2 linked regions of the Elephas maximus indicus genome follow. The protein of the gene in region 2 purifies or fractionates together with the protein of the main gene of each other region. This does not show direct contact. Links are inferred from orthologs where the notes say so. Each region holds a gene or a part of one and is shown on either strand. Other genes may lie near its edges.

Region 1 (7,848 bases), on a different chromosome or scaffold from region 2:
TTAGATTGTTAAAAGAAAAAAAAAGGCATAAAAATACAAAATTGCAGGAAAAGATGGAACTCTCAGACACTGCTTGTAGAAGTGTAAAAAGTTAGGAACTATCTAGTAAAGTTGAAGCTATGCAATACCCCTCTGACTCAGCAACTGTTGTCATAAATATATATCCTACTGAAATGCACGCGCACACACAAACCCAAACCCGTTGCCATCGAATCTATTCCTACTATGTGAGCCACCCTATAGACATAGTAAAACTGCCCATAGGGTTTCCAAGGAGAGACTGGTGAATTGGAACTCCCGACCATTTTTTTTTTTTTGATTAGCAGCTAAGCTCTTAACCACTGAGCCACCAGGGTTCCACTGAACTGCAAGCACATGTATATCAGGGTACATGTACAAAAACTCCATGGCAACATTGCTTTCAATAGCCCTAAACTGAAACCAAGCCATATGTCCATCAATAATGTTTTTGTTGTTATTACCCATGTGTGACAAAGTAGAACTGCCCCACAGGAGTTTCCTAGGCTGTAATCTTTATGGGAGCAGATCGCCAGGTGTTTCCCTGGGAGCAGCTGGTGGGTTCAAACTGCTTTTTGGTTAACAGCCGACGGCTAACTGCTGTGACACCAGGGCTCCTTCCATCAACAATAGAATAGATAACAAAATTGTAGTTTATTCATACAATGGAATATTTACTATAATGAAAAGAGTTAGTTAAACTATATACAAGTATAGTCTTACAACCAGAGTGAATTAAGCCAAAGATATCAGAATACAGACTACATAGTTCTACTTATATAAAGTTCAAGAACAGGCAAAACTAAAAAAAATATTTTTAGGGGTAAATATGGTAAAATTATAATGAAAAGTGTCATAGTAAATACCATAGAATGATAGAAGGGAGAGGGGGTTTATGATGGGGGCCTTCTGGGCTGTCAATCAAGGCTGACTATGTAATTAAGGGGCCCAGTGAAAAATGAAAATGTGGGGCCTCTTGTTCAAAACGCAGGAGAAAAATTCTTTTTCCTCTCTTCCACAGTCTCTCTCTGGGCCTGTCATGATGTTTTCTTATCTTTTATTGATTCTTTTTAATGGACACAGGGTTTCTTACAGGTTGAATGCAGAGCTTTACGGGGGTCCAGAGCCCTGCTCTGTGACTCAGTGTGAGGGCAGGGGTGGGGAGGAGCCTGCTTACCAGACCAACACTCCTGGTGATGGTGCTTGTGGATCAGACCGATACTGGAGGGGAGGGTGGAGAAAAGCAGGGACGCTGTGGGAAGCTGACTGGTTCATCAGCTACCTGGAGTAATCTAGGGCTTCAAGCCCCAGCTCCTCCTCCAGTGTTCCATTAGACTTCATTTGTAAAACACAAACACAAAGATAAAATTATAAAGAAGTTCATGATAGTGATTGTAGAGATTAAACCCCAAGGGGGTGGGCAGTGCAGTACACAGGGAGAAGGGCCTTTCAGAGCGTGGGGCTCTGTTTGGCTGCACTGGTTGCAGGCCCATGAATCTGTTCCTCACTTGGACAGATCCTTTTCAAGCTCTGTACCTAATTTTGCCCCAGTGGTGCAGTGGTTAAGCGCTCAGCGAGAGGTGGGCAGTTGGAACCCACTAGCCCTCAGCAAAAGAAATATGTGGTGGTTGCTTCAGTAAAGATTACGGCCTTGGAAACCATATGGGGCAGTTCTACTCTGACCTATAGGATCGCTATGAGTTGGAATCGACTCCAGGACAGTGGGTACCTAATTTTGCATTGATAATTTTATATGCTTTTACTTAAAGAGGGCTCCTCAAATTATATAAGCTTGAGGTCCCCTAAAATCTGATTCCAACCTTGACTTGGAATTACACTTGAAGCAAGGAGTCCCCACCCTGCATATGAAATTTATAAAATAAATAATGAAATATGTTAATCATGAAAAATTTATTGAAGAGGTACTTTAAACCTGGTAGTAAGAATTTACATGTCACTTACTCTAGGAGTCCTTTCTACTTACCAGAGATTAATCATTCTCTCCTAGGTGCTATGTCTATACTTTTTCTCTAATTCTATGAAGGCCTGTATCATGCTCTTTTGAAACGTGCTTGTCAAGCCGTCTCCCCTAGTAACAGGTGAGCGCCAAAATGGCTAAGACCCTCTCCCAACTCTTTTTCTATCACCAGGGACTTAGAAAAGATCCTATTGTTGTTGCCTGCTGTGGAGTAACCCCATGCACAATGGGACAAAATGTTGTGCGGTCCTGGACCATCTCCACGATCGGTTATGGATCCGATCATTGTGATCAGTAGGGTTTTCACTGGCTAATTTTTCAGAAGTAGATCGCTAGGCCTTTCTACCCAGTCCATCTTAGTCTGAAAGTTCTGCTGAAACTTATGCAGCGTACTAGCAACGGGAAAGCCTCCGCTGCCAGATGTGTGATGGCTGCAGGAGGTCTTTGGTCACGAATCAAAGTGGGTCTCCCTCATGGAAGATGAGTTGTACCACTGAACCAGCGATACCACAGAAAAAAGATCCTAGTATGCAATATGCAATAAACGAGTGTTTAATTGGATATTTTAGAAAAAATACTGTATTGTGTATAAAGGAGGTATAGCCACAATTCTTGACTTTAGTAAAGTTCATGTAAAACTGATACATAACTAACCCATACATACATACGTGAACTGATTTGGTCACATTTTACAGAAGATAAATTACAAGCTTGTAAGAGCAAGAACTAAACAATACCATGAATTTTTTTTAAATGTGAATTATTTTTAAAATACATTATAAGGAAAAAGGTTAAAACCCAATATCCCACTATTATCTTTGCTATATATATATACTTACAAATACAGCAGAAATTGCCTTTAAGATTGTCTTACTTTCTTAGTGCTGTAACAAAAATACCACAAGTAGGTGGTTTTAACAAACAGAAGCTTATTTTCTCACAATTCCCAAACTAGGTTAGAAGTCCAAATCCAGGGCACCAGCTCTAGGGGAAGGCTGTCTTTTCTGGGGAAAAATCCTTGTCTCAGCTTCTCTAGTCTTGGTCCGTTGGTGATCTCCACATGGCATCTATCTTTCCTCCATGTATACTTGCTTGTCTCTGTGTCTGATCTGTTCTTTTTAAGACACACCCTACACTGACAGCAAAGAAAACCCTATTCCCAAATGTGACTACATCCACAGGTATAGAGTTAGGACCCCAACATGTATTTTGAGGGGGGACACAATTCAATCTGTAACAGTCATTCCCAGATACTATCCCTTGGTCTCCCTCCCAAGATGTGACCACCATCCTGAGCTGGGGTGTATCCATCCATTCATATGTCCTCCTTTTTACCATTTAAGAAAATATATCCATAAACAGTATGCTTTAATACTTTGAAAACAGTGTTGTCTAATAGAAGTACAATGTGACCAATATGTGTAATTTTAAATATTCTAGTAAACCCCACTGCTGTCGAGTAGCACATTAAAAAAAGAAATAGATCAAATTAATTTAATATATTTTATTTAACCAGTATATCAAAAAATATTATCATTTCAACATGTAATCAATGTAAAAATTATTAACGGACTATTCAATATTCTTTTTTTTTGTACCTAGTGTTTAAAATCCAGTGTGTATGACCTGACAGGGAACACAACAGAGAATCCCTGATGGAGCAGAAGAGCAGTGGGATGCAGACCTTAAATTCTGTAAAAAGACCAGACTTAATGGCCTGACTGAGACTAGAAGGACCCTGGAGGTCATGCCCCCAGAGCTTCCTGTTAGCCCAAGGCAGGAACCATTCCCTAAACCAACTCTTCAGACAGGGATTGGACTGGACTATAACATAGAAAATGATACTGGTGAGGAGTGAGCTTCTGGGCTCAAGCAGACACATGAGACTATGTGGGCAGCTCCTGTCTGGAGGGGAGATGAGAAGGCAGAGGGGGACAGAAGCTGGCTGAATGGACACTGGAATACAGGGTGGAGAGACAGAGTGTGCTGTCTCATTAGGGGGAGAGAAACTAGGAGTATATAGCAAGGTGTATATAAATTTTTGTATGAGAGACTGACTTGATTTCTAAACTTTCACTTACAAAAACTTATAGCACAACAAAAAGAAAAAAAAATCCAGCGTGTAGTGTAAACTTACAGCACATCTCAATTTAGATGCTATATTTAATTTTCTTAAAATTTAAGTTGAAAGGACACATTTATCTAAGTTCCAGAGATACTAAACATTTTTCCATTAACTGATTCGCGTCAGTATTTAAATTTAAATTAAGTTCGTTTTTCAGTCGCAATAACCACAAACCGCTCAATAGCTATATATGGTTAGTGGCTACCCTATTGGACAGTGCAGCTTAAAAAACACCAAGTGCTTATTCAGCATCTTCCTTTTTCCCACTCAGTTTATTTACTTTTTTTTTTCCTTTCCCATATCCTGGAACTGAAATACTACACATGAAAAGACGGCTTTGAATAACAACGTAGAGAGCATTTTCAAACATTTTTTAAAAATCGTCTTTCATTCAATGTAGTAAGTCTAAGAGAACTTTCAAAAAGAAGTCCTGTCTGAAATATTAAGTATTTTTATATAAACACTGGGATCGTTAGACAAGGCGTATCTGCTGATACAGGAAGCGCTGTAACGAAGTCACTGTAAAGCCGCAGCTTTCGTGTCAGCCCTCCCATCCTGTACCCCGCCCTCCGCATGCAGACGCGCACACACGCACGCACCCACATACACGCCCTTACACGCGCGCACGTGCACGCGCGCCGGGACGACCCAGGGATGTGGTTTCCATTTCCCCTCGCACTCCGGGGAGCTAACGCTGGCAAGTTCCTGAGGAGCCGGCCAGCCGCCTTGGCTTTGCCGTTGGTTTCACATTCTCTTAGACGCCGCCCTTTTCCGGATCCATCGGAGGAGAAATGGAAAGGATTGGAGGTGTCGGTGAAGAGCAGCCCTGCTACTGTCAGCTTGTCAGTGGCCCCACATCACGAAGCAGCTGACTTAGTGAGCCCCAAACCCAAACGTGTTCCTTGCAGGAATGTAGCAGGGTTTAGACACGGCCTTCAGTGAGGCATTTGTGAGGAGGACCGGTCAAGGGCGAGGGGTAGGGATGGGCGTTCTCCACCGAGCAGCAGATGCCCTGTTAATTGGGTGCGTGAATGGATGGGGCTGCTCTCCCCCGAGGGCCCGGAAAGCACCAGGACGCCCGAGTTCTCCTTGATTTAGGTTTCCCCATAAAGCGCGGTCACACCAAGAACTGTTGGCCACAGCGAGGAAAGCGGCCCCGAAACTCTGTTCCCTTCCCCACCCTCCCACAGGCTTACTCCTCCCGCCTCCGCTGTGCTTTGCCTCAAGAGTCGGCTGACCGCTTGGTCTGACGCGGGAGGTGTGATCAGTACACTGCCACACCACTGACTCCGCGAAATCCCAGGAGCTAACCACGGCCTAACTTCCCAGGAGAGACAAGTGCGGAGAAAACACCGTAACCGCCAATTACACGTCCCTGTTTACCCGGCGTTTCGAAAAACAAAAATAGAGTCCGAGAGCTTCCTCAGCCGGCCCGTCTCCGCGCGATGCATGCTGGGATAAGTAGTTCCTTCAACTCGCGAGGGACCCGGGCAGGGGCAGGGCGGAGCGCCGGTTGACTCCGCCGCAGAGAACTACAGTCCCCGTGGTGCTCCGCGGCAGAGTGGAGGGGGCGGGGAAGGAGGCGCGTCGCGCCTGCGCGGCTCCGGGGGCTGCAGGGAGGCGGAGGCGCGGCCGTCCAACTGCTGAAGACGGCATGTGACAGGGAACGGGATCGCCGCTCCAGGCGCCGCCCGCCTCTGAGTCCCGAACAAACAGTGTCCGCTGTCCCGGCGCCAGCAGACGCCAGCCGGCCCGGGACGCTCGGCCCTTGGCGGTGCCGCCGCCGGACACGGTGCCCAGTGAACTTCCCCGACACCCGGCCGGGCCCCCGCTGTCTCCCTAGCACCCCAGGAGGGAGGAGCAGCGGCCAGGCGGCCGAGGATTTCTGTCAGCGCCGGCGCCCCCGAGCGGGGAGACATGAACGGCTTCACCCCTGAGGAGATGAGCCGCGGCGGGGACGCGGCTGCCGCGGTGGCTGCCGTGGTGGCCGCCGCCGCCGCCGCCGCCGCCGCCTCGGCTGGGAACGGGGCCGGGGTGGGCGCTGGGGCTGAGGTGCCGGGCGCCGGGGCGGTGTCGGCGGCCGGGCCCCCGGGAGCGGCCGGGCCGGGCCCCGGGCAGCTGTGCTGTCTGCGGGAGGACGGCGAGCGGTGCAGCCGGGCGGCGGGCAACGCCAGCTTCAGCAAGAGGGTGCAGAAGAGCATCTCCCAGAAGAAGGTGAAGATCGAGCTGGACAAGAGCGTAAGTGCCGCGGGGGCGGCGGGCTGGGGGCCGTGCGGCGCGCGGGGCGGCGGGGCGGCTTGGTGACGGCGGGGCCGGTTGTGAGATCTCCGGCAGGAAGCGGGCGACACGGTGGCGGCGACGCCGACGGCCGCCCGGGACGCGCAGACGGCCGGCTGCACACGGGCACGCTGGCCGCGGGCCGCCGCCGCCCTCCGCGCGCCTCTCCCGCGCGCTCCCCGCCTCCTTCCTCTCGGGGCGGCCGGGAAGCCAGACAAAGGGCACCGGCGCTCCGGGCCCGGGAGGGGGCTCCGTGCGGCCCGGCAGCCCCTCCTGCCGTGGAGGCGCCTTTGTTTTGTCCCCAGAGCTGGCGTGGGGCCGGCGGAGCAGTTGCTCTCGTCTGGGGGAAGCGGGGTCGTGCAGGACTTTGCCCCACGCGCTAGGGCGATCCTGCTCGTTTCTGGGCTCCATGGCGTTCCCTGGAGCACCGGGGGGGGGGGGACCCGAGCCCCCCTCCCGCTCCCGCCGCCCAGCAGGGAAGCTGGGTGGGGAGCGTTTTCTGCTCCGAACGTGGGGAGCGCGTCGCCTCTCGGCTGTCCGTCCGCTGGGCAGCCATCAGGATTTCTGTTTCCCTTCTTTCTGCGCGTCTATTCTCGGGCCATCCGTGAGGTTTTTAGAAACAGCCATTGCCACTTTTCGGAGCTCTGGCTTGACGGTATATGGATAACAAGATGCCAGAACCTAGCCCACCTCCTTTATTTTTTTCAGTTGCACTTAGCAAGAGATTTAAAAGCCTATAGCTCCGTCCCTAATCGTTCTTTTTAAAGGAATGAACTGTCAATGTATGAAGCCCAGTATTTCAAATATTACTGTCCAGCTCTCAAGACTGTATGTAATTAAAGTTTTTGAAAAGTTAATTTGTGATACTTTCTGCCGGCTGAAACAGTTCTTCAAGTCGTGTTCATGAAAAACTTTTCAGGTGAATAGAAAAATTTCAGGTTGCTTTGATTGGAAAAACATTGTAGATAAATACGGTTCTTTTAAATACTCAGGAAGAAAAGTTTGTAATTGAAATTCATATATGGTTAGAATATGAAATGAGTAGCTCATTTGTAAAATGAATGTAGCTTTTGTATCTGAGATATAATTTGGATAAGTTAGAAAAAAAATCAGGAAGCATATACTAAAATATGCTATTTAAAAAGAGAAGATACTATCAAACAGATAATAAAATTGTGGACAACATCGTCTTTCCCCTTGTCAGTTAAAAATCCAGCAGTGAACTAACTAGTTAATTCAGTCCACCCTAGCTACAATTTGGTGACAAAACTCAGTGGGTTGGAATTTCTCATTCTTTCTCTGCCTCCCTCCCTTCACTGTCTGGCACCCCTCCCCCTCTGTCCTATTAGCTGTGGTTGTATTACCAAGTTTGTCAGGCTTCTAAGTTTTAGCAGGGTGGAAGAAGGGCCTACAGAAACAGTGTTGCTGTTGACTGTTATTTTTAATAACT
Region 2 (7,034 bases):
TCAGAGTCAACTGGACAGCAACTAACAATATCCTATGCCTAGCCTAGATATTTCGTGTAAGTGAGATCACAGGATGCAGTTATTCTGACTTCGAGGAAAATTCTGGGGTAGGAGCAGGCTTCCTCGACGCATGTGATATAAACTCTTCAGGCAGACCCACTTGGGATTCAGGGGCTGCCTGTGGAGGCGTTTTGATCTAGTTTGATTCGTGCCAGAAATCAGCAGTCTGGCTTTAAAAAGACCAGATCTCACGTGGCTTCCAGCAAAGAAATACCGCCCTGCCCCCTCCGGCCAGGTCCCAGGACACACAGCGCAAACACCCATTCAGGTAACTGACGCCCAGCGGCGGCCTACCTGGTTCGCCAGTGGTGACTGTATGTTTAATTTGCCGTTCTTGGGGATATCAATCCTGTATCCCAGGGGGAGGAATGCGTTGAATCCAACGATGAGGTCGGGGTGCTCGTGAAAGAGCTGAGACACACGTCTGATGACCCCGGGAGTGTCGATGCTAGGACAAAGAGGGACACAAGTGGACAAGAGGGTCTTGGGGAACAAATCAAAAGCAAAACCTATTTCCGACTCTCTCCACAGTACCACGTAATGGAGCTTTCTGACTGGCAACAAAGCGACCTAAAATATACTCATCTGCTGCATGATTCTACAGCCAGTGATCTATTTCCACAGTAGCGAGGAAAGAGCATTGGTGGCGCAACGGTTAAGTGCTTGGCTGCTAACCAAAAGGTGGTTGGTGGTTCAAACCCGCCCAGCAGCTCCACGGGAGAAAGGCCTGGTGATCTGCTCCTGTAAAGACCATGGCCAAGAAAACGCTATGGTTTTCTACTCTGACAGTTCTACTCCATCACCTGTGGTCGCTGAGAATTGGAATCGACTCAAGAGCACCCAACAATAACAACAACCATGTCTGTTCAGAGCAGCGAGGCCTGGGCTCCCCACACCCTCTTCCTGAGAACCGCTGAATATTTCCCCAGCATGGCTCCCAAAATACTTCAATAATGTGTGCTCAGTTCCGAAAACTGTCAAAACCAAGGCACCGAACCAGCTGCCATCAAGTCGACTCCAACCCACAGCAACTCCATGTGTGTCAGGGTAGAGCTGTGCTCCAGGGCTTCCTTCCAAGGTGCCTTTGAATGGATGTGAATCTCCTATCTTTTGGTAACTGGCTGAGTATTTAACCATTTGCACCACCTAGCAACTCCTGAAAATGTCAGAAGCTCTAAATGCAGGGCTTGGACTCCAAGAGGTGGCGAGAGGCCAACCCCCTCCACGCGAGGTGATAAAGTCTGTCACTTTGTATGAGTTAGGATCACCCATGACGCAGGTTTTGATCCAAGCAACTCACTGCAATGTATCAACACCCAAAACCTTGCAAGTATCAGGAATGCATACAAATGAGAGGGGAAAGGGGGGCTTTGTCATTACTGTAGTCCCAGCACAGGGCTGACGCTACTTCGTAGAAGGAAACCGGGGGGGGGGGGGTACCCAAACTCATTGCCACTGAGTCAATTCCAACTCATGGAGACCCCATGTGTGACAAAACAAAACTGCTCCATGGGGTCTTCTTAACTGTAATAAAGACCTGGCGATCTGCTCCTGTGAAGATTACAGCCTACAGGAGCAGATCTACCATCACACAGGATCACTATATGTCAAAATCAACTTGACAGCACCTCACACCACCACCGACAATCTTCATGGAAGCAGACTGACAGGCCTCTCTTCCACTGTGCCACTGGGTAAGTTCGAACCACCAAACTTTGGATGTGCAGTCAAGTGCAAACCGTTTGTGCCGTCCAGGGACCCTCAAAACCAGCCCTGCCATATTTCCTAAGAGAGTGGAGCATGTAGGTGGGCCTGTGACAAGCAAGAATTTAAGGGTTGGGGGGTCTGAGTTCTAACTTGGCCTCTGTCCCTAAGGTGCGTGTGGGCAAGCCCCTTGCCCACTCCAAGCCCTGATCCTGAGGCCAAGATCCTGAGATTCCCCATTTATCTGAAACCTTCCTGATTCTGCCTAGAAAAAGAGCTAATGTCTTTAAACACTTTCCCTGTGGCAGGTCCCTCACTAAAGGCTTTATGCACATTATTTCCAAGCAGGACAGGGTCTAGGGGAGGCAAGGGAGGCACTCAATTTGGATACAAAATTTAAAGGGGAGGGGCACTCAATCATCAAAACGAAAAACACTGTAATGCAATGCTTGCAAGAAAAAATTTAGGCAAAAAAATTCCTTAAGGAACAAAAGTTATTTAAAGCCAACGTTTTAAATAAACGCAGGATCCAACTTTGCATTTGTCTGACCTTATCTCCCCTAATTCCAGCCCTGCTTCCAAGAATCCCCACCACAGTTCCACAAGGTGGGTACGATCCATCCCAACATTAGAACAAGAAACGGAGGCTCACAGAGGTTCAACGACATGCTCAAGGTCATTCAGCTGAGGGGCAGCAACCGGGAAGGGGTCTCTCACCCTGATCAGCCCGGTTCGGGGCCCAGCGCGGCCCTCGGGGGTGGGGAGGGGCCCCGCGGGTACCTCTGGCTTTTGAACTCCTTCATGATCTCCAGAAAACCGTTGTAAGTGGCAGGGTCGCTGCCGAAGCGGATCTTCACCTGGTCCAGGTAGGTGAGGGCGTCCTCCACCTGCGGGGAAGCGGAGGGTCCCGGGGGGCCAGGGTCAGCGGAGGAAGGGGACAGAAGTCGGGAGTCCCCGACGGGAGGTGGGCAGGCCGGACCTGTGCGGGGCTGAGATGAAAGGTCGGGGTTCCGGGGTCCGGGGCCGCGGAGGGGAGGCCAAGAAGGGGCGGGGGCCAGGACCGGGCGGGGCCGGGGTGAGGGGCGCCGGCCTGCGGGGGCCGGAGAACAGGGTCCCCGAGGGAGGGCGGACGCCACTCACGTGCACCGGCAGCTTCTCGTGGCCCGCGGAGGCCGAACGGCCCCAGCGGGCGCCGCTCAGCCCCCGGCCCGCGGGGTGGCCACCGCCGCCGCTGCCACCGCCACCACCGCCAGCAGCGTGCGCCATGTTGGAAGTCGGAGCAGCGGCCCGCCCCGCCCCCCCAGCCCGAGCTCCGGCCGCGCATGCGCACGCTCCGCCCCGGGGCTAGGGCTAGTGCTGCGAGGAGGGGCGGGGCTCTCGTTGGGGAATCTGCGTTGTACCCCTAAACATGAAATAGCGCTTAATGGCCGAGGTGCCGAGGTGCCGAGGTGAATAAACCGAGACCCAGCATCTGTTCTGTACGTCCCTCAAGCTAAGAGTGGTTTTTACATTTTTAAATAGCTGGGGGAAAAAAATCTCAGGAAAAAGTGTATTTTATGGCACATGAAAATTTAATTTTATAAAATTAAAATGTCAGCATCCATAAATAAGAGTTTTATTGGAACACTACCATGTCCGCTCATTTACCCATCGTCTGTGGCTACAACTCACAATTGAGTAGTTGCGACAGAGGCCCTAAGACCCGCAGAGACTGAAATATTGAACATCTGTTCCTTTATGGAAGAAGTTTGCCAATCCCTGTGTGCTGCAAACGGTTGAGTGCTGGACTAGTAGCCAAAACGTTGGAGGTTCAAACCAACCCAGAGGCTCCTCGGAAGAAAGGCCTGGTGATCTGCTGCTGAAAGGTCACAACCTTGACAACCCTATGGAGCAGTTCTCTGCATGTATGGGGTCACCATGAGTTGGGGTTGACTTGACAGCAACTAACACAACAGCTTTATAGGGTTGGTGTGACCGTGGGATAAAGACACGCAGCATCCAAATAAAAGGCCCTGTACAGTGAATGTTTGCTAAATAGCCCTTGGCTTAGTCCCACTCCTCCTATCCTCACTTCTCTTGTCCTGGTCCCATCACCTCCCTCTGGACCAGTTCAGAAGCTTCATTGGTTTTCCCAGCCCCATCTCTATCAAGAGCCAAGATCCTTCCACCACTGCTGCCAAACCCGTGAGGTCTTCTTATTTTTCCTGAGATGAAATCAAACCACCTACCCCTTAACATCGTCAGAATCTGGCCCCTACCAACTTTTTTTTTTGCAGAATTTTCCACCCAAGCAAATTGTACTTTATGTGTGAAGAACTTCCCACAATTCTTTGTCCAGCCAGGCTGCTTCCTGGCCCCATACATCAGCACACACCATTCCCTTTGCCAGGAGTCATGTTTTGTCTCTTTGTCACCCAGAAAACTCCTACACATCCTTCAAAACACATCTCAAATGTCCCCTGTCTCAGGAAGCTTCCTCTGACCCCTCCTTTGGCCTCCCACAGTCCCTTGTGCATCGTCTTCATTTTGTGTTTTGTCTCTAACACAAATGCCTGATACAGAGTTTCATCAACAAGCATTTACTGAGTGAATATTCAATGAATGACCAAATATTATTTTTCTTTTAGTATGTAAAGAGGTGCAGGAAAGCTGAGAATAAATAGGTGGTGTATGCATCATTTTCCAGGTGGTGTTAGGTGTCAGGTATAGAATGGTTGTTAAAACAAGGCCCGGGGTCACCAAGAAAGACATGACTCACACACAGGCATTGGGTGGAACAGCACTTTACTCACACAGAGAAGAGGCAGAGCAAGGTCAGCTTCAACATTAGGCGTCATTCTTCCATGGCCATGGATCACTCCCTGTAGCAGCTGATATAGGTACGATGGTCTGCATGCATCCCTCCTGCCGGGATCAGGTATAAAAGTGGAGCTAGCCACATGCCATGTGACACACGCACTTAAGTAGTAAGCAGACTGGGTACCCAGAACATGAAAGAAGATTCCCTGATAAAGAAGAAGAAACTGAGACAGAGACTCAGTTCCCAACCTTACTACCAGGGAATGTTCTAGGCCAAAGGACTCTGATTAGGTCATCTGGTGAGGGTTTGAAGGTCCCATACCCAATAATAGTGGACAAAAAGTAACACTATTCTTGCCCTCACAGAGCTTCCTGTGTTTTAGGATAGGTAGATATGAATCAAATAATCACAAAAACAAATGTGAAGTTTCAAGTATAACAAATGCTTCAAAGACAAGGTACAAGTGTGTTCCAGCTACTGTGTCTGCATAACAAACTGCCCTGAGACTTGTTTTTTTGTTGCTCCAAGCCATAGTGACCTTATTATAACAGAACAAAATGTTGTCAAGTCCTGTGCCATCTTCATGATAGTTGGTATGTTTGGGCTAATCTTCCAGCAATATATTGGATAATATTCTGTTGTGCTCCATAAGGTTTTCATTGGCCAATTTTTGGCAGTAGATTGCCAGGCCTTTCTTCGTAGTCTATCTTAGTCTGGAAGCTCCACTGAAACCTCTCCCCCATGGGTCACCCTGCTGGTATTTGAAATACTGGTGGCATAGCTTCCAGTATAGTAGCAACATGCAAGCCACCACAGCATAACGAACTGACAGATGGGTGATGGATCCAAGACTTAGAGGCTTAAAAATGACAACACCATTTTATTTTGCTCACCAGTAATCTGCAGTTTGGCCAGGCTTGGCAGGGATGGCTTATCCCTGCTCCCCTCGATGTCAGTTGGGGTGGCTGGAGGTTGGCAGTTGGACCTATCTGCAGGTTTGCATACTCAGAAGTGAGGTGTAGGCTGACACCTTAGCTGGAGATATTGCCTGGAACTCTGACATGTGACCTCTCCAGGCAGTTTGAGCTTCCTCCCAATATGGCAACTGGGTTCCAAGAACAAGGGTCCAAAGACAGAGAGCCAGGCAAAAGTCATATCACCTTTTATGACTTAGCCTCAGAGATCACACAGTCACTTCCATCGCATTCTTTCCCTAGAGGCAGTTACAGAGTCCCTCTCTAGTTCAAGAGGAGGAGAAGTAAACTCCAGAACTTGGGGAGGGGTTAGGTTCTGGAATAGCACATGCGATGGGTAATATTGCTATGACCATTTATGGAAAACACCACCTGTGGCCCTGGGGACTTGCGGGGAATGTGGCATCAGGATTGGAGGAAGACTCATTAACAACCTGCAGGACGCAGATGACACAACTTTGCCTACTGAAAGTGAAGAGAACTTGAATAGCTTAATGATGAAGATCAAAGACCTCAACCTTCAGTATGGATTACACCTCAACGTAAAGAAAACGAAAATCCTCATAACTGAACCAATAAACAACATCATGATAAATGGTGAAGAAATTGAAGTTGTAAGAATTTCATTCTACTTAGGTCAACAATTAATGTCCATGAAAGCAGCGGTCAAAAAATAAAATAATGTAATGCGTTGGGGAAGTCTGTTGCAAAAGACCTCTTTAAAGTGTTCAAAAAAAGAGAGACCTGGTGGTGCAGTGGCTAAGTGCTCAGCTGCTAACCAAAAGGTTAGTGGCTCCGTGGGATACGAACCTGGCTCCTATAAAGATTACACCCTAGAAAGCCCTATGGGGTAGTTCTGCTCCATCACATGGGCTGCTATGAGTCAAAATCAACTCAACAGCATCTCACAAAAACAGCAGAGTGTTAAAAAATCCAAGATGTCGTTTTTATGACTAAGATGCACCTGACCCAAGCCGTGGTCTTTTCAGTCGTCTCACATGCATGCAAAAGCTAAACAATGAAAAAGGAAGATCAAAAGAGAATTGACACATTTGAATTGTGGAATTGGCAAAAAATACTGAATATACTGTGGACTGCGAGACAAATGAACGGATCCGGCTTGGAAGTACAGCCAGAATGCTACTTAGAAGAGAGGATGGTGAGACTTTGTCTTGCTTACTTTGCACACGTCATCAGGAAAAACCAATTGCAAGATAAGGACATCGTGTTTGGTAAAGTAAAGGCTCAGGGAAAAAGAGGGAGCCCCTCTATGAGATACACTGACATGGTGGCTGCAACGATGGGTTCAAAGATAACAACAATTGTGATGATGGCACAGGACTGGACAATGTTTCGTTCAGTTATACATGGGGTTGTCATGAGTTTGCGCTGCCTTGAAGGCAGCTTACAACAGCAGCAGCAGTGGAATTTGGGGAAGGCTTCCCAGAGGAGGTGGCATTATAACTGAGATATGAAGGATGCATAGGTGTTAACCA

What was found.
Region 1: the proteins of SIN3B (region 2) and SAP30 purify together in Homo sapiens (affinity purification with mass spectrometry; 4 studies listed by BioGRID and IntAct, with this or other methods). This does not show direct contact. The link is inferred for Elephas maximus indicus from reciprocal best matches to the Homo sapiens genes SIN3B and SAP30.

What each region holds. Positions count from the first base shown.
Region 1 is NC_064839.1:69,620,333-69,628,180, forward strand, and holds the start of SAP30 (histone deacetylase complex subunit SAP30), read left to right. Parts: upstream 1-4,758; 5' UTR 4,759-4,997; exon of another isoform or gene 4,998-5,311; 5' UTR 5,312-6,038; coding exon 6,039-6,359; intron 6,360-7,848. UniProt on the Homo sapiens protein: Involved in the functional recruitment of the Sin3-histone deacetylase complex (HDAC) to a specific subset of N-CoR corepressor complexes. Capable of transcription repression by N-CoR.
Region 2 is NC_064821.1:37,015,874-37,022,907, reverse strand, and holds the start of SIN3B (paired amphipathic helix protein Sin3b), read right to left. Parts: upstream 3,045-7,034; 5' UTR 3,031-3,044; coding exon 2,905-3,030; intron 2,652-2,904; coding exon 2,545-2,651; intron 509-2,544; coding exon 355-508; intron 1-354.